Saccharomyces cerevisiae S288C: one gene and its partners. Changing the gene in region 1 together with any one later gene gives a genetic interaction. Each region holds a gene or a part of one and is shown in the gene's direction. Other genes may lie near its edges. The genes, in order: PPZ1, BCK1, SIS2 and CHO2.

Region 1 (4,196 bases):
TCTTCGACTGAAAAGTTGAAAGAAATTGAAAAATCAAGAAGAGGTATATAGAGATAATTATCCATATAAATGAAGAGCACAAAGTAAGTTTGAGCTTCAACAGCGCAACGATGACCGAACCTCAAGGTCCTTTGGACACCATCCCGAAAGTGAACTATCCGCCAATACTGACAATAGCAAACTATTTTTCCACAAAACAAATGATTGACCAAGTCATCAGTGAGGACCAGGACTACGTTACGTGGAAATTGCAAAACCTGCGAACGGGTGGTACATCAATCAACAACCAATTAAATAAATATCCAAAATACAAATACCAGAAAACCAGGATAAATCAGCAAGACCCGGACTCTATCAACAAAGTCCCAGAAAACCTGATCTTTCCACAAGACATTTTACAACAGCAAACACAAAATAGCAATTACGAAGACACCAATACCAACGAAGATGAAAATGAAAAACTTGCGCAGGACGAACAATTCAAGCTCTTGGTAACCAACTTGGATAAAGATCAAACTAATCGGTTTGAAGTTTTCCATAGAACATCCCTAAACAAAACCCAGGTCAAAAAACTGGCTAGCACAGTAGCTAATCAAACTATAAGTGAAAATATTCGTGTTTTTCTGCAAGCGGTGGGAAAAATATACGCTGGTGAGATAATCGAATTGGCCATGATTGTGAAGAATAAGTGGTTGACAAGTCAAATGTGCATAGAGTTTGATAAGAGGACCAAAATAGGCTATAAATTGAAAAAATATCTAAAAAAATTGACTTTCTCCATCATAGAAAACCAGCAATACAAGCAAGATTATCAATCCGATAGCGTTCCCGAAGACGAACCTGATTTCTACTTCGACGATGAAGAAGTAGACAAGCGCGAAACTACGCTGGGCAACTCGTTGCTACAGTCCAAATCCTTACAGCAATCAGACCATAATTCACAGGACTTGAAGCTACAACTCATCGAGCAGTACAATAAGCTCGTCCTCCAATTCAACAAACTAGATGTAAGCATCGAGAAATATAACAACAGTCCCTTATTGCCCGAACACATCCGTGAGGCGTGGAGACTCTACCGTCTGCAGTCGGACACTTTGCCTAACGCTTACTGGAGAACTCAAGGAGAAGGGCAGGGATCCATGTTCAGATAGCTGCCCATAATTGTCCAACGGCTCCAACATATATCAATCTATATATAAACATATATATAATTTTTAACATGTCGTTTGAAATGACATGTCTATTTTTAAAAGGATAGCATATAAATTAATGAAAAAAAAAAAAAGAAAACGATTACTGCAGATCTTCTAATTCTGTTAATCAGCTTTCTCTTGTGAACCATTGGCAGGTGGGTAACATAAAAGCACAATACAATAGCTTCCATTATTAGTTTTGTTTGTTTTGGCAATACATGTTAAATCTTTTTCTTTCAAGTTAAATATAAAGATTATATATAAAAGTACTTCTTTGGAATACATTTGATTATACTTTTCTTTATCGTTTTATTTTTATTTCATCGTTATAGTCGCTTCTTTTCCCCTAGAGGCTTTGTCATAAAACAACAAATCAACCACTCTCTGCTTATCTTTCCTTCCTTTTCAAAATGGGTAATTCAAGTTCAAAATCTTCGAAAAAGGATTCACATTCGAATTCCTCCTCGAGAAATCCTCGTCCTCAAGTGTCGAGAACCGAGACTTCCCATTCTGTGAAGTCTGCAAAATCAAATAAATCTTCAAGATCAAGGCGATCTCTTCCTTCTTCGTCCACTACGAATACTAATTCAAACGTCCCTGATCCCTCCACTCCATCAAAGCCCAATCTTGAGGTTAATCACCAACGACATAGCTCTCACACGAATCGTTACCATTTCCCATCTAGCTCACACTCGCATTCAAATTCTCAAAACGAATTGTTAACTACTCCTTCATCATCCTCTACTAAGAGGCCTTCTACTTCTAGAAGATCAAGTTATAATACTAAGGCTGCTGCTGATTTACCACCTTCAATGATCCAAATGGAACCCAAGTCACCCATTTTAAAAACAAACAATAGTAGCACACACGTATCCAAGCATAAATCTTCATACTCATCTACCTATTATGAGAACGCCTTAACCGATGATGACAATGATGATAAAGACAACGACATCTCGCACACTAAAAGGTTTTCTAGATCTTCGAATTCTCGTCCGTCCAGTATAAGAAGCGGATCAGTGTCAAGAAGGAAATCAGATGTGACCCATGAAGAGCCTAACAATGGATCATACTCCTCTAACAATCAGGAGAATTATCTCGTTCAGGCATTAACCCGGTCAAATTCTCATGCATCTTCGCTACACAGTAGGAAATCTTCGTTTGGATCAGATGGTAATACCGCATACAGCACCCCATTAAACTCTCCAGGCTTGTCCAAGCTAACAGATCACTCTGGTGAATACTTTACCTCTAATTCAACCTCCTCATTGAATCACCATTCAAGTCGCGATATTTACCCGAGCAAACACATCAGCAATGATGATGACATTGAAAATTCATCTCAATTGAGTAATATCCATGCATCAATGGAAAATGTTAATGATAAAAATAATAATATAACAGATAGCAAAAAAGATCCGAATGAGGAATTTAATGATATAATGCAATCTTCCGGAAACAAAAACGCTCCAAAAAAATTCAAAAAGCCTATCGATATTGATGAAACTATCCAAAAATTACTGGATGCGGGCTACGCTGCTAAGAGAACAAAAAATGTTTGTTTGAAGAACAATGAAATTTTACAGATTTGCATCAAGGCTCGTGAAATCTTTCTTTCTCAACCTTCCTTATTAGAATTATCACCTCCTGTAAAAATTGTAGGCGACGTTCATGGCCAATATGGGGATCTCTTAAGGCTTTTTACCAAATGTGGGTTCCCACCATCCTCGAACTATTTATTCCTAGGTGATTATGTGGACCGTGGTAAACAGTCACTGGAGACTATTTTACTATTGTTTTGTTACAAAATAAAATACCCTGAAAATTTCTTTTTATTGAGAGGCAACCATGAATGTGCTAACGTCACAAGGGTTTATGGATTTTATGATGAATGTAAACGTCGTTGTAACATCAAGATCTGGAAGACATTCATCGATACTTTTAATACATTACCATTAGCTGCTATCGTAGCCGGAAAGATTTTTTGTGTTCATGGTGGATTGTCGCCAGTTTTAAATTCTATGGATGAAATCAGACATGTAGTTAGGCCTACTGATGTACCAGATTTTGGCTTAATTAATGATCTTTTGTGGTCCGATCCCACAGATTCACCCAACGAATGGGAGGATAACGAACGTGGTGTAAGTTACTGTTATAATAAGGTGGCAATTAACAAATTCTTGAACAAGTTTGGGTTTGATTTGGTTTGTAGAGCTCACATGGTTGTGGAAGACGGTTATGAATTTTTCAATGATAGAAGTCTCGTTACGGTGTTTTCCGCGCCAAATTATTGTGGTGAATTTGATAATTGGGGGGCTGTAATGAGCGTCAGCGAAGGTTTATTGTGCTCTTTTGAATTGTTAGATCCACTAGATAGTGCAGCTTTGAAGCAAGTTATGAAGAAAGGTAGACAGGAAAGAAAACTGGCTAATCAACAACAGCAAATGATGGAAACAAGCATCACAAATGATAACGAATCTCAACAGTAAATTTACTGACTAAAAAATCCAGAAGTATTATATTCATTATTTCATGAACAACTCAACGATGTACATATGCACATATATATATATATATATATATATATATATATGAAAGACAGGAAATAGAAGTTCCCTATCTTTTTCTTAATGACATTAAAAAACTTCCTTTCATCGCCTACTGCCTTCGCGTGTGTATTGAATGCTCATTCGCTCTATACAATCTAGAACTCTCCGAAATTTCGTTCTACTTTGCTTTCGCTATATTAAGCTGTTTATATAAATTACGTAATGGTATATAGTCATATAGCTAAATTCAATGGTTCGTTTCTATAGATTGGTTCTCCTTAATTTTAATTTTTTATTGCGTATAACGTGAGAGATTATTTTCAACCCCCCCAATACTTACGAAACTTCATAAAACTTCTTTAAGAAATAAGGGCCTATAAAAATTGTGAACTAATCAAGAGAAAATATATAATCAAAATTGATTAATCAGAAAGACGAATTTTTTTTAAAAAAA
Region 2 (6,569 bases), on another chromosome or scaffold:
TGGTCATCTCCTTGTACCCAAAAGTTGGACAGCCAGCATTCTTCTACCAAACTAAAAATGTCGCTACCCTTGTTCAATGTGGTGCTATAATCGAGATCATAAACTCATTTTTAGGAGTTGTACGTTCCCCATTGCTGACCACTGTTGCACAAGTGTCTTCAAGACTACTAGTTGTCCTCGGCATCTTCCAATTGTTGCCAAACACAAGTGGTGTTCAATCAGTTGTTTACATATCATTATTACTGGCATGGTCTATAACTGAGATCGTCAGATACTTGTATTATTTTTTCATGTTGGTATTCAAGAATGGCGCACCAAAGATCTTAATTCTATTAAGATATAATTTGTTCTGGATTTTGTACCCCACTGGTGTTGCCAGCGAACTACGCATTATTTACTGTGCTTTAAATGCAGCTGAATCTCAGTATTCTTTACTTTACAAAAGAATTTTAATAGCGGCCATGCTCGCTTATATCCCAGGCTTCCCAATGCTCTTCCTACACATGGTAGCACAGAGAAAGAAAGTCATGAAAAGTTTAAGATCCTCTTTCGGGAAGAAACTAATTTGAATTCTTTAGATAAATTCTTCTGTATTTTTTATAAGAATATTAGCCTTCACATTGAAATGGCTTCAACGCTCTTAACCATAATCACTAGTATCTTGCGGTGCACGGGCTTTATATTGAGCAAAATTGCGAAGGGTAGCCGAATTAGAGAACTCTTAGAAAGATGTCGAAGCTCACTCGGAGTCGACCTTCACAGCCTACTGAAACAACTGTGCCGAGACAATCTTAAGTGTGTTGCTCTAATTTTCATGCTACAACTGAAATTCATATGGCCAGTGGCCAGAATCACACCTATTTATAGGCCATTTACCAGTCATCCATTCAGAAATTTAGCTACTTCCTCAAGCATCAGTAGTACAAAAGCTAAGACTACTAAGACAGATACAACTCCACTAAAATTATCAAATGAACTATATGCAATATTCAAGATTCATAATCGTCCATATTTGGTGACCGAGGGCGACAGAGTTATTCTTCCATTCAAATTGAAGCAAGCGGAGGTGGGTGACATTTTAAACATGACCGATGTAACAACTTTAGGATCTAGAAACTACAAGCTAGTTGGTCATCCAATCAATACTTCTCTGTATACTTTAAAAGCAACCGTTGTTGGGAAAACTAAAAGGGCTTTCCAAACTAGGGAGGTAACGAAGAGAAGAAATAGACGGGTCCGTCATGCAAAGAGTAAAGGTGATTTGACAATCTTAAGAATATCAGAACTGAGTATGAACTGAATTTTAGGGATATGTACATATACGCATACGTATAAAATCATGTAAATAACAATAAAATTTGACACACTTTCTTCGGCCCCAATGGCCATTCAATTCCAGACCGACGCGTCTTCTAAGTTATAATGCTATGAAATTTCAACAAGTTAATTAAAAGTAAGCATAATAATAAAATCAGGTAATGGATTCACCAAAAAAAAAAATAAAAAAACAAGGGCAGAGGGGTGACCATTAGTACGAAACACTAAATATAGTATTAAAATAGTTCAACTCCACCTCCAAATGCCCTTTTTGAGGAAAATAGCGGGGACAGCACATACACATTCTAGGTCTGATTCGAACTCATCTGTGAAATTCGGCCATCAGCCGACTAGTTCGGTAGCATCAACCAAAAGTTCAAGCAAAAGCCCTCGTGCAACATCTCGCAAAAGCATTTATGATGATATTAGAAGCCAATTTCCCAACCTAACCCCCAACTCTACCTCTTCTCAGTTTTACGAAAGCACGCCAGTTATCGAACAATCCTTTAATTGGACGACAGATGACCACATCTCAGCTGGAACGCTTGAAAACCCAACGAGCTTTACAAACAGTTCTTATAAAAATGACAATGGACCTAGTAGCCTCTCTGATTCGAGGAAATCCTCCGGTGGCAATAGCGTAAATAGTTTGTCCTTTGACAAGCTAATTCTATCGTGGGATCCTACAGACCCTGATGAATGGACAATGCATCGCGTCACCTCATGGTTTAAATTTCATGATTTTCCAGAATCCTGGATATTGTTTTTCAAAAAGCATCAATTGTTTGGTCACAGATTTATAAAGTTGCTTGCATATGATAATTTCGCTGTTTATGAAAAGTATTTGCCGCAGACTAAAACTGCTTCATATACCAGGTTTCAGCAGTTATTGAAAAAAACAATGACCAAGAACGTAACAAATAGCCATATTCGTCAGAAGAGCGCTAGCAAACTTAAAAGTTCCAGGTCTTCCAGCGAATCGATCAAATCAAAATTAAAAAATAGTAAATCGCAAGAGGATATTTCAAATTCTAGATCAACGTCAGAATCTGCATTGAGCCCAACAAAATCGGGCCCTTCCAAGACCGATGAAAAGAATTTTTTACATTCTACTTCAACACACCAAAAAACCAAAAGCGCAAGTTCACTATACAGAAGAAGTTTTATATCCCTAAGAGGCTCATCATCGAGCAATGCTTCCTCAGCAAAATCACCTTCAAACATCAAGTTAAGTATACCGGCTCGGCCGCACTCAATTATTGAATCTAACAGTACACTTACCAAATCGGCGAGCCCACCTGCATCTCCTTCGTATCCTAGCATATTTAGAAGACATCACAAAAGTAGTTCATCTGAGTCGTCATTATTAAATTCCCTTTTTGGTAGTGGAATAGGCGAGGAAGCTCCAACAAAGCCTAATCCACAAGGTCATAGTCTGTCTAGTGAAAATTTAGCTAAAGGAAAATCTAAACACTATGAAACTAATGTGTCTTCACCTTTAAAACAATCTTCACTACCCACTTCGGATGATAAAGGTAATTTATGGAATAAATTCAAAAGAAAGAGCCAAATAGGGGTTCCTAGCCCAAATACGGTAGCTTATGTAACGTCTCAAGAAACTCCATCCTTAAAATCGAATTCGAGTACTGCTACCTTAACCGTACAAACGGCAGATGTAAATATACCATCTCCATCTTCATCACCACCGCCAATACCCAAAACTGCAAACAGAAGTTTGGAGGTCATCAGCACAGAAGATACACCTAAAATTTCTTCAACCACGGCGTCTTTTAAAGAAACGTATCCTGATTGTATTAATCCAGACAAGACAGTTCCAGTGCCGGTAAATAATCAAAAGTATAGTGTAAAGAACTTTTTACTGGACCAAAAATTTTATCCTCTGAAGAAAACAGGGTTAAATGATAGTGAGAATAAATATATTCTGGTTACCAAAGATAATGTTAGTTTTGTTCCGCTAAACTTAAAAAGTGTAGCAAAATTATCCAGTTTCAAAGAATCTGCTCTCACAAAATTGGGAATCAATCACAAAAATGTCACTTTCCATATGACAGACTTTGATTGCGATATTGGTGCTGCAATTCCAGATGATACTTTGGAATTTTTGAAAAAAAGCTTGTTTTTGAACACTTCTGGAAAAATTTATATCAAAGACCAAATGAAGCTTCAACAAAAACCGAAACCTGCTCCTCTCACCTCAGAAAACAATGTTCCTTTAAAATCGGTGAAAAGTAAGAGTTCAATGAGGTCCGGAACAAGCAGTCTGATAGCATCGACAGATGATGTTTCCATTGTCACTTCGTCTTCTGACATAACATCATTTGATGAACATGCATCAGGAAGTGGGCGCAGGTACCCCCAAACCCCGAGTTATTACTATGACAGAGTTTCCAATACTAATCCAACTGAAGAATTGAATTATTGGAATATTAAAGAAGTTCTTTCTCATGAGGAAAATGCACCAAAAATGGTTTTTAAAACAAGTCCAAAATTAGAACTCAACCTACCAGATAAAGGAAGTAAATTAAATATTCCTACCCCCATAACAGAAAATGAAAGCAAGAGTAGTTTTCAAGTGCTAAGAAAAGATGAGGGGACTGAAATTGATTTCAATCATCGTAGGGAATCGCCTTATACAAAACCAGAACTGGCACCAAAAAGAGAAGCTCCCAAGCCTCCCGCAAATACTTCTCCTCAGAGGACCTTATCAACTTCTAAACAGAATAAACCGATCCGCCTAGTGAGGGCAAGTACAAAAATTTCGAGAAGCAAAAGATCGAAACCATTGCCGCCACAATTATTATCATCTCCTATAGAAGCTAGCAGCTCGTCTCCTGATTCGCTTACTTCCTCATATACTCCTGCTTCGACTCATGTTTTGATACCGCAACCTTATAAGGGTGCAAACGATGTTATGCGTAGGTTGAAAACAGACCAGGACTCGACGAGTACTTCCCCATCTTTGAAAATGAAACAGAAAGTGAATCGCTCAAATTCAACTGTATCGACTTCAAATTCAATTTTCTATTCTCCTTCACCATTGTTAAAAAGAGGTAACTCAAAAAGAGTTGTTTCGTCGACATCTGCGGCCGATATATTTGAAGAGAATGACATAACATTCGCGGATGCTCCGCCGATGTTTGACAGCGATGATAGTGATGACGATTCTAGTTCATCCGATGACATTATCTGGTCCAAGAAAAAAACAGCTCCTGAGACTAATAATGAAAACAAAAAGGATGAGAAAAGCGATAACAGTTCTACGCATTCTGACGAAATATTCTATGATTCTCAAACGCAGGACAAAATGGAGAGAAAGATGACCTTTAGACCATCTCCGGAGGTCGTTTATCAAAATTTAGAGAAATTCTTCCCAAGGGCTAACTTAGATAAGCCAATCACTGAAGGAATAGCTTCACCAACATCTCCGAAATCCTTAGACAGCCTACTTTCACCAAAGAATGTGGCTTCATCGAGAACTGAGCCAAGCACTCCTTCCCGTCCCGTCCCTCCTGATAGCTCATACGAGTTCATACAGGATGGACTTAACGGTAAAAATAAACCATTGAATCAAGCTAAGACACCTAAAAGAACAAAAACCATAAGAACCATTGCACATGAAGCTAGTTTAGCAAGAAAAAACTCTGTAAAACTAAAAAGACAGAACACCAAAATGTGGGGTACAAGAATGGTCGAAGTGACCGAAAACCATATGGTGTCAATTAATAAAGCCAAAAATTCGAAAGGTGAGTATAAGGAATTCGCCTGGATGAAGGGTGAAATGATAGGGAAGGGATCTTTCGGTGCTGTTTATTTATGTTTAAACGTTACTACAGGTGAGATGATGGCCGTTAAGCAGGTTGAGGTCCCCAAGTATAGCTCACAAAATGAAGCCATTCTAAGTACCGTGGAAGCATTAAGATCTGAAGTGTCCACGTTAAAAGATTTAGATCATCTTAATATTGTTCAATACTTAGGTTTTGAGAATAAAAACAATATTTACAGTTTGTTTTTAGAATATGTTGCTGGTGGCTCCGTGGGATCCTTGATTAGAATGTATGGAAGATTCGATGAACCGTTGATCAAACATTTAACAACACAAGTATTAAAAGGATTGGCATACCTACACTCGAAAGGTATTCTCCACAGGGATATGAAGGCAGACAACTTACTTTTGGATCAAGATGGTATCTGCAAAATCAGTGACTTCGGAATTTCAAGAAAATCAAAGGACATATACTCTAATTCGGATATGACCATGCGAGGAACAGTCTTCTGGATGGCTCCTGAAATGGTTGATACAAAGCAAGGCTACAGTGCAAAAGTTGATATATGGTCTCTGGGATGCATCGTTCTGGAAATGTTTGCTGGTAAGCGCCCGTGGTCCAACTTAGAAGTCGTCGCAGCCATGTTCAAAATTGGAAAGTCAAAATCGGCACCACCAATTCCTGAGGACACTTTACCATTGATATCGCAAATCGGACGAAATTTTCTGGACGCATGCTTCGAGATAAATCCAGAGAAAAGGCCAACCGCTAACGAGCTTCTTTCTCATCCTTTTAGTGAAGTAAATGAAACATTCAATTTCAAATCTACCAGACTCGCGAAGTTTATAAAGTCAAATGATAAGTTAAACTCTTCAAAATTAAGGATAACCTCTCAGGAGAATAAAACTGAATAGCTATTAGGATCGATCTATACTTAAGATATTTATGCATACGTAATAATATAGAACAATAAACATAGATGACGGAATGACGGAATGACTGAAAATTAAGAACAAAGAAAATTAAAAAATTTCTGCTGATACTTATTCAGACGAAAAATGGTGCACAATAAGGGTGTCAAAACGACGATTCGACCCTTCAAATATTACAGTCCTCACCTCTTCGCTGAAGGGCTCACTTTCATCAGGAAGGTCCTCTCCAATAATAAAGGTAGTCTCCTCTATATCAGCTAAAGCAGTATCTGATAAACCAACATCAAGCACAGTCTCTATAAAGGACGGCTTTTCAATTGCTTCTTCTGGAACTTTCGTTTCAAAGGGGATATCCACAATTTTAATGGTAGATTCGTTTAGCCAGTCATGCTCAGCAAATGCAGTTGACAAATCTTTTGCGAAATCAATATTCTTGCTGTTAATAAATATACTACAGGATGCATTATCATTATTATAGCCATCTCTATAGCATATCAATAAGAGAAGATATAGTCCAAGATAATCGGATTGTGTC
Region 3 (3,760 bases), on another chromosome or scaffold:
TTTAAACCTTAGGTAATCCTCTTTGTTGAAAAGCGAAATTTCGGTTTCATTCTCAATGCCATACTCGAACAGCTTTTTTTTGTCATTCTCTATGTCTAAAGTCCAGTCGTCATCGTGGTCAAAATTGATCACGAGATTAACCGTCTTGGAACCATGTGCGTGCGTGTATATCTTTAAAGTATCAAACTTAACATTACGGAATGGTCTGAATGAACCTTCATTTTGAATTTTGTTCAAAACGTCATTGAACAGGTCCTTTGCAGTTTTATCAGCAAGATCGTAATCGTGCAGCACTATGTTCTTGACGTTTCTATATGGGAAAGATTTTATTACTCGGATTGTAATAACGGAGTTCTTTAGTGGTCTGGCATTTGAGGTTAATGGCTCTTCCAAGTCATAATCATGAAAGGTTGTTGACATTTTCAGCCTTTTAGTTGAATTCATGAAATAATGCAACCAAACAAGAAAAAATTTGGGGGAGGTAGTCTACGCATTTCAGTTCTAACTTCCTTCCTTTTCTTTCACTATTAATTGAAACTTATTTTCATTTTTTTTCTTTAGCATTGAACGCCGAATCTAAAAAAGTAAAGAACTCCTCATAGGGGGCTCGAACCCCTGACATTTCGGTATCCTTGCTTAAGCAAATGCGCTTAAAAGCCGAACGCTCTACCAACTGAGCTAACAAGGATGAGTTCTTCGGAGGGCTAACTCATATAAATAACTAATAAAGGCGAAATAGTGGTCACCACCATCACACTACACCCATATCAACGACAAGAGTTTAATTTGACCGTGGAAATTTATTACTGCTGATTTGGGTTCTATGATAAATCCTCGTAACGTAGAGACTATGTTTTTATATGCGCATTAAGTGCCGGAAAACGTGAGAAATAGGCTTTCCGGAGCATCAAACCTGAGGTTTCATAAATTGTGTTCGTGAAGGATGCATTCCAGAGGGCCATCCATCCAGCATAAAAAGAGATCTACAAAGCAATTATGTGGTTTCGCCATTATCCGTAGGATGACCTAAAAAATGGTAATGATTCACGTGATCTAGAAACTTTAACGTGTTATATCATTCAAGGCGTAACTTATACGCGCGGGGTACCCTATCATATCTAACACACGTACCCTGGGTTAATGCCATGATCGTCTTTGATGTATCTCTAATGATCATTATTATTTTTTCTTTTGCTTTTAACATGAGTCAAAGCAATATTCTTATGTTATATAACTCACCCCATGTGCTCGTGGGCAGTGACGCACGCAACTTTTTCTCTTGCAAAAAATGGCATCGATGCTTTTCTGGGGAGGTGATATTAGAGGAGAAGAAGTCACAGAGTGCTCTTGGATCACGATCCCTCACTTGTACTTGTCCACTTATCAGCGCCGTCCAGTTACATTTGGAGAGATCTTTTTTTAGCCTGGCCTTCTTTGCTGTCATACTACTTTATATTCCGGGATAAAATATAAAGAAATATTAGTTAGGAAAAAATTAATAGGGAAGAAAGATCTAGAAGCAAACAGCAATGACTGCCGTCGCCTCTACTAGCGGGAAGCAAGATGCTGACCATAACCAGTCTATAGAGTGTCCAAGGTTTTCGCGTGGACAGAAAGAGATTTTGTTGGACCATGAGGATGCGAAGGGGAAGGATTCAATAATCAACTCCCCCGTGTCAGGGAGGCAATCAATAAGCCCTACTTTGTCGAATGCTACTACCACGACTACGAAATCTATTATGAATGCCACCGGCACCTCCGGCGCAGTAGTAAGTAATACTCCGGAGCCTGGTTTGAAGAGAGTCCCCGCCGTCACTTTCAGTGATCTAAAGCAACAGCAAAAGCAGGATAGTCTGACTCAGCTGAAGAACGACTCAGAAAGGACCAAGTCTCCAAATAGTAATCCTGCTCCTGTCTCAAATTCCATTCCTGGCAATCATGCAGTTATACCGAACCACACCAACACTTCAAGAACAACGCAATTATCTGGGTCTCCACTCGTCAACGAAATGAAAGATTATGATCCTAAGAAAAAAGACAGTGCTCTTAAAATAGTTGATACCATGAAGCCTGACAAAATCATGGCCACTTCAACGCCAATAAGTAGAGAAAATAATAAGGTAACCGCCAAAGCCCCCACCAGTATTACACTTCGAAAGGAAGATGCACAAGATCAAGCTAACAATGTTTCAGGCCAAATTAATGTGCGTTCTACCCCGGAAGAAACGCCAGTGAAGCAGTCCGTCATTCCTTCCATCATCCCCAAAAGAGAGAACTCCAAGAATTTGGATCCCAGACTACCTCAAGATGATGGAAAATTGCACGTGTTGTTTGGCGCTACAGGTTCGTTATCGGTATTTAAGATCAAGCCAATGATTAAAAAACTAGAAGAAATATATGGACGTGATAGAATAAGCATTCAAGTTATCCTCACTCAATCAGCAACACAGTTTTTCGAACAAAGATATACCAAGAAAATTATCAAATCTTCAGAAAAACTAAATAAAATGTCGCAGTACGAATCCACTCCGGCAACTCCAGTGACACCAACACCAGGACAATGCAACATGGCTCAAGTAGTCGAGTTACCCCCACATATTCAACTATGGACCGACCAAGATGAATGGGACGCATGGAAACAACGAACTGATCCTGTACTTCATATAGAACTACGTCGCTGGGCGGATATACTGGTAGTAGCTCCATTAACTGCAAACACATTATCAAAAATTGCTTTGGGCCTGTGCGACAATCTTCTGACAAGTGTCATTAGAGCTTGGAATCCGAGTTATCCCATTCTTTTGGCACCTTCTATGGTGAGTAGCACTTTTAATTCTATGATGACAAAGAAGCAACTACAAACGATAAAGGAGGAAATGTCCTGGGTCACTGTTTTCAAGCCGTCTGAGAAAGTTATGGATATAAATGGTGATATTGGTCTCGGGGGTATGATGGACTGGAATGAGATTGTTAACAAAATCGTTATGAAATTGGGTGGGTACCCAAAAAATAACGAGGAAGAGGACGATGATGAGGATGAGGAAGAAGACGACGACGAAGAAGAAGATACAGAAGATAAGAACGAAAACAACAACGATGATGATGACGATGACGACGATGACGACGACGACGACGACGACGACGACGACGACGACGACGATGATGACGAGGACGAGGACGAAGCAGAAACCCCAGGTATAATAGATAAGCATCAATAAATAGTCTATGAATTACAAATACACTAAACACATTCTACTTATTTGTGTTTTGTAATTTCTGGAAAAATACTCATTAGGCAAATTCACGCAGCATATTTACAAAATGTCACAAATTTTTTTCCTTTTTTACTTGCAGTAGGTATGTAATGCCATACTAGCGTACATAGAGCTCTTCATATAAACCGCTATTTATTACTAATTTTAATAATTCAGTAATTCATTAAATACATTCATTACTTTCTGGGTAAATATCTATTCGTTTCTCATTTTTCTTTTTTTGACATATCCCGGTACCGGAATAAGTCCGATACTATTCAAAAGCTTCTGGAAAAAAAAAATAAAAAAAAGAAATGATTAGTAATCATTTAATTTCATGACATATTAAAAAGGTATTCTAAGCAGAAGTCTTTCATCACATTTGATCTAAGCATATACACTGTAAGTGAAGGTATCGATGTCACAATACAAAACTGGTTTACTTTTAATACATCCGGCGGTGACTACAACGCCAGAGCTAGTAGAGAACACTAAGGCTCAAGCTG
Region 4 (4,731 bases), on another chromosome or scaffold:
CAAAAGCAGGTATTACAACTTAATAGAGATTCGTACCCCTTCGAGGCGGGTTTGGAGCTACCTTTCGAAATGGTGACAGAAGTCCCCATTCCTAGGCGACCACCGCCACCACAGGCTGCAAATAACACAAACTCTGTATCAAATAACACAAACATTCAATTCCCCGACATACTAAGTAAAGCATCTAAACACTTGCCAAGTTTCCAAGATGGCTCGATTATTGCACCAGACAAAATTTCACAAAATTTAAGTAAAATTCCGCCGTTGCAACTTATTGAAATTATATCAAATTTGAAAATATTATCAAACCAAGAAAACATCCAAAAATCGCAATTAGAATCTTTCTTAGATACTAACAGTGATATCACAATATCAGTGACCCAAGCCCTACTAGAAATGGGATTTATAGACTACAGCGTGGTGACTAAAGTGTTGAAATCCCAAGTTGGCGAGGCCCCATCTTTGCTTTCGAGTAATAACACAAGTAATTCGAACACCCCCGTAAGCGTAATTAGAAATAACACTCCGTTGCATGTACCTTCTAATGAAGTCAGCAACAATCCTAACAATATGCCACTGAACGTAGCTATGCCAATGCCTATGTCGACACCACCATTTATCCCTTTACCTCTGCAACAACAACCGTTCGGTTTTGCGCCACCGGGCCCTTTCATGCCTCCAGCTCAAGGCCCCTCCATGGGACAGCCTGTGTTGGCAAATCAACTCGGCCAGGTCCAGCAACAAAATATAAGTTCTACAGAAGGACCCTCTAACGCGAATAAAGCGAATGACAGCGGCACCATTAATATGGCGAAACTGCAATTACTACCTGAAAACCAACAAGATATGATCAAACAAGTTCTTACTTTGACACCTGCCCAGATCCAAAGTTTACCAAGTGACCAGCAACTTATGGTGGAAAACTTTAGAAAAGAATATATAATCTAAGTAATCAGAGCCATAGCGTATCAGAAAACCACACCTAATTAGATGGTTCTTGCATCTGTACCTCTTATCACTAAAAGCGGCACTAAACTTCCAACATTAAATGTTTGCCTTGTTAAATATATATTTTTGCCTTGGTTTAAATTGGTCAAGACAGTCAATTGCCACACTTTTCTCATGCCGCATTCATTATTCGCGAAGTTTTCCACACAAAACTGTGAAAATGAACGGCGATGCCAGAAACGGCAAAACCTCAAATGTTAGATAACGTGGATCTCCGACACATGTGAATTTATAAGTAGGCATATGAAAATACAGATTCTTTCCACTGTGTTCCCTTTTATTCCCTTCTCATGTGAAGAGTTCACACCAAATCTTCAAAATATAACTAATATAGTAGAGTTTGATTCAAAGGACCTTTTTTTTTGCCTCTTTGATTAGTTTATCTTCTTTTCTTCATTTTATCCCCTAATTTTATACGTTAGTTCAACCTAACAATCCAGGATTTCATTAACAAGAAAGGTAAAAGTAACCTATCAAGGCTATTTTGAAAAAAAAAATTCCGCCCTGAATATTTCGAGTGATTTTCTTAGTGACAAAGCTTTTTCTTCATCTGTAGATGTCCAGTTGTAAAACCACTTTGTCTGAAATGGTTGGTTCTGTGACAAAAGATAGGGGCACTATCAACGTCGAAGCCAGAACACGTTCGAGTAATGTAACTTTCAAACCACCTGTAACCCACGATATGGTGCGTTCGCTTTTCGATCCAACTTTGAAGAAATCTCTGCTGGAAAAATGCATCGCGCTAGCTATTATATCGAATTTTTTCATTTGTTATTGGGTCTTCCAAAGGTTTGGCTTACAGTTTACCAAATACTTTTTTCTGGTACAGTATTTATTTTGGAGAATTGCTTATAATTTAGGTATTGGACTGGTTCTGCATTACCAGTCACATTATGAAACACTAACGAATTGTGCTAAAACTCATGCGATTTTCAGCAAAATACCACAGAATAAAGATGCTAATTCGAATTTCTCAACAAATTCCAATTCCTTTTCAGAAAAATTTTGGAATTTTATTAGGAAGTTCTGTCAATATGAGATTAGGTCTAAAATGCCAAAGGAGTATGATTTATTTGCCTATCCAGAAGAGATCAACGTCTGGTTGATATTTCGCCAGTTTGTCGATTTAATCTTGATGCAAGATTTTGTGACTTACATTATTTACGTTTACCTTTCTATTCCATATAGCTGGGTTCAAATCTTCAACTGGAGATCTTTGCTAGGTGTTATTTTGATTTTATTTAACATCTGGGTCAAGTTAGATGCGCATCGCGTGGTTAAAGATTATGCTTGGTACTGGGGTGATTTCTTCTTTTTGGAAGAATCTGAATTGATTTTTGATGGTGTCTTCAACATCTCTCCACATCCAATGTATTCTATTGGTTATTTGGGTTATTATGGCCTATCATTGATTTGTAATGACTACAAGGTTCTTCTGGTGTCCGTATTTGGACATTATTCTCAATTTTTGTTTCTGAAATACGTCGAAAATCCTCATATTGAAAGAACGTATGGTGATGGCACTGATTCCGATTCTCAAATGAATAGCAGAATTGATGACTTGATATCAAAAGAGAATTACGATTATTCAAGACCTCTAATTAACATGGGTCTTTCTTTTAACAACTTCAATAAGCTAAGATTTACTGACTATTTCACAATTGGTACCGTAGCGGCACTTATGTTAGGAACAATCATGAATGCTAGGTTTATCAATTTAAATTACCTCTTTATTACCGTTTTTGTAACAAAACTGGTTTCATGGTTATTTATCTCGACAATATTGTACAAGCAATCTCAGTCTAAATGGTTCACGAGATTGTTTTTGGAGAATGGTTACACACAAGTTTATTCCTATGAGCAATGGCAATTTATTTACAATTATTATTTGGTATTAACCTACACACTTATGATAATTCATACAGGGCTTCAAATTTGGAGTAATTTTTCCAACATAAACAACAGTCAATTAATTTTTGGTTTAATTCTTGTGGCTTTACAAACATGGTGTGATAAGGAAACGAGACTAGCAATCTCTGATTTTGGTTGGTTTTATGGTGATTTTTTCTTGAGCAACTATATCTCAACTAGAAAGCTGACTTCCCAAGGTATCTACAGATATTTGAATCACCCAGAAGCGGTATTAGGCGTTGTTGGAGTTTGGGGTACTGTATTGATGACGAATTTTGCCGTTACAAATATTATCTTGGCTGTTTTATGGACATTGACAAATTTTATTCTTGTCAAGTTTATTGAAACACCTCATGTTAATAAGATATATGGTAAAACTAAACGAGTTAGTGGTGTTGGAAAAACTTTACTAGGCTTGAAACCTCTAAGACAAGTTTCAGATATTGTCAATAGAATTGAAAATATTATAATCAAATCATTAGTTGATGAAAGCAAGAACTCCAATGGTGGGGCAGAACTTTTGCCCAAAAATTATCAAGATAACAAAGAATGGAATATTTTAATTCAGGAAGCAATGGATAGCGTTGCAACAAGATTGAGTCCATACTGTGAATTGAAAATTGAAAACGAGCAGGTAGAAACCAATTTTGTCTTGCCTACTCCAGTAACTTTGAATTGGAAAATGCCCATTGAACTTTATAACGGAGATGATTGGATTGGTTTGTATAAAGTCATTGATACAAGGGCAGATCGTGAAAAAACAAGAGTTGGATCAGGTGGTCATTGGAGTGCGACTTCTAAAGATTCATATATGAACCATGGATTAAGACATAAAGAATCTGTAACAGAAATAAAGGCGACTGAAAAGTACGTTCAAGGTAAAGTGACATTCGACACGTCTTTGCTTTATTTTGAAAATGGTATCTACGAATTTAGGTATCATTCTGGTAACTCCCATAAGGTGTTATTGATTTCTACACCATTTGAAATTTCATTGCCGGTACTAAATACCACGACACCTGAACTGTTTGAGAAGGATTTGACTGAGTTTTTGACGAAAGTCAACGTTTTGAAGGATGGTAAATTTCGTCCATTAGGAAATAAGTTCTTCGGGATGGACAGCTTGAAACAATTGATTAAGAACTCAATTGGCGTCGAACTTTCGTCTGAGTATATGAGGAGAGTCAATGGTGACGCTCACGTTATTTCGCATCGCGCTTGGGATATAAAACAAACGCTTGATAGTCTTGCTTGAGTTTTTTTTTTTTGAGTATATATATTTAAAAAGTACTAGGATTCAAGTTAACATTTTGAATAGAAGTAGTTATGTTGTTGTAATATAATGGAGCTACCATATATGCAGAATGACATTATAAATTATGATGTTGATGTACAATGCCTTTGTGCGCTTCTTTTACCATGAATTTTTTCTTAACCTCTTTCACTTTTCTTTCCGACTAGGATAATCTCGTGTCTAAGTTTCCTGGTTCATTAAACAGCTTATCATTAAATCTCTATAACGGTTATATTGCTCCTTGCAACGATCAAGGCATTCCAAAAGATCTTCATCGTCACCATCATCCTTCCAAAAACCTACAATTTCCTCTCCATTTTTGATGAATGATACGACAGTGCCATTGGCCTCACCGGCACCTGCCATATCCACTAATTCGATGCCGGCATCAGCTAAGGCTAGCGTTATACTAGTGATACAATGTGGTATGAGAGATGATATTTGAGAAGACATCATTTTGCTTTGCGAATCGTCGTCCTGAGGATTATTTGTAAGATCCTTATCATACGTTAAATAAA

Evidence for each region.
Region 2: mutations in PPZ1 (region 1) and BCK1 together harm fitness more than expected from each alone (negative genetic interaction), as found in Saccharomyces cerevisiae (4 studies listed by BioGRID).
Region 3: of PPZ1 (region 1) and SIS2, extra expression of one rescues a mutant of the other (dosage rescue), as found in Saccharomyces cerevisiae (7 studies listed by BioGRID, with this or other methods).
Region 4: mutations in PPZ1 (region 1) and CHO2 together harm fitness more than expected from each alone (negative genetic interaction), as found in Saccharomyces cerevisiae (4 studies listed by BioGRID, with this or other methods).

What each region holds. Positions count from the first base shown.
Region 1 is NC_001145.3:238,944-243,139, reverse strand, and holds PPZ1 (salt homeostasis regulator), read left to right. Parts: upstream 1-1,603; coding exon 1,604-3,682; downstream 3,683-4,196. Other genes in the region: TATA-binding protein-associated factor TAF11, read left to right, coding at 111-1,151. UniProt on the Saccharomyces cerevisiae protein: Essential for the maintenance of cell size and integrity in response to osmotic stress.
Region 2 is NC_001142.9:245,676-252,244, forward strand, and holds BCK1 (mitogen-activated protein kinase kinase kinase BCK1), read left to right. Parts: upstream 1-1,579; coding exon 1,580-6,016; downstream 6,017-6,569. Other genes in the region: enoyl-CoA hydratase PHS1, read left to right, coding at 1-569; mitochondrial 54S ribosomal protein bL21m MRPL49, read left to right, coding at 815-1,300; KHA1 (Kha1p), read right to left, coding at 6,146-6,569. UniProt on the Saccharomyces cerevisiae protein: Serine/threonine protein kinase involved in a signal transduction pathway that plays a role in yeast cell morphogenesis and cell growth. This pathway seems to start by SMP3; then involve the kinase PKC1 that may act on this kinase.
Region 3 is NC_001143.9:575,893-579,652, reverse strand, and holds SIS2 (phosphopantothenoylcysteine decarboxylase complex subunit SIS2), read left to right. Parts: upstream 1-1,529; coding exon 1,530-3,218; downstream 3,219-3,760. Other genes in the region: AIM29 (Aim29p), read right to left, coding at 1-444; YKR073C (uncharacterized protein), read left to right, coding at 1,146-1,466; electron carrier DRE2, read left to right, coding at 3,673-3,760. UniProt on the Saccharomyces cerevisiae protein: Component of the phosphopantothenoylcysteine decarboxylase (PPCDC) involved in the coenzyme A synthesis. Acts as an inhibitory subunit of protein phosphatase PPZ1, which is involved in many cellular processes such as G1-S transition or salt tolerance.
Region 4 is NC_001139.9:800,876-805,606, forward strand, and holds CHO2 (phosphatidylethanolamine N-methyltransferase), read left to right. Parts: upstream 1-1,564; coding exon 1,565-4,174; downstream 4,175-4,731. Other genes in the region: cleavage polyadenylation factor subunit PTI1, read left to right, coding at 1-948; exosome non-catalytic core subunit MTR3, read right to left, coding at 4,394-4,731. UniProt on the Saccharomyces cerevisiae protein: Catalyzes the first step of the methylation pathway of phosphatidylcholine biosynthesis, the SAM-dependent methylation of phosphatidylethanolamine (PE) to phosphatidylmonomethylethanolamine (PMME). Preferentially converts di-C16:1 substrates.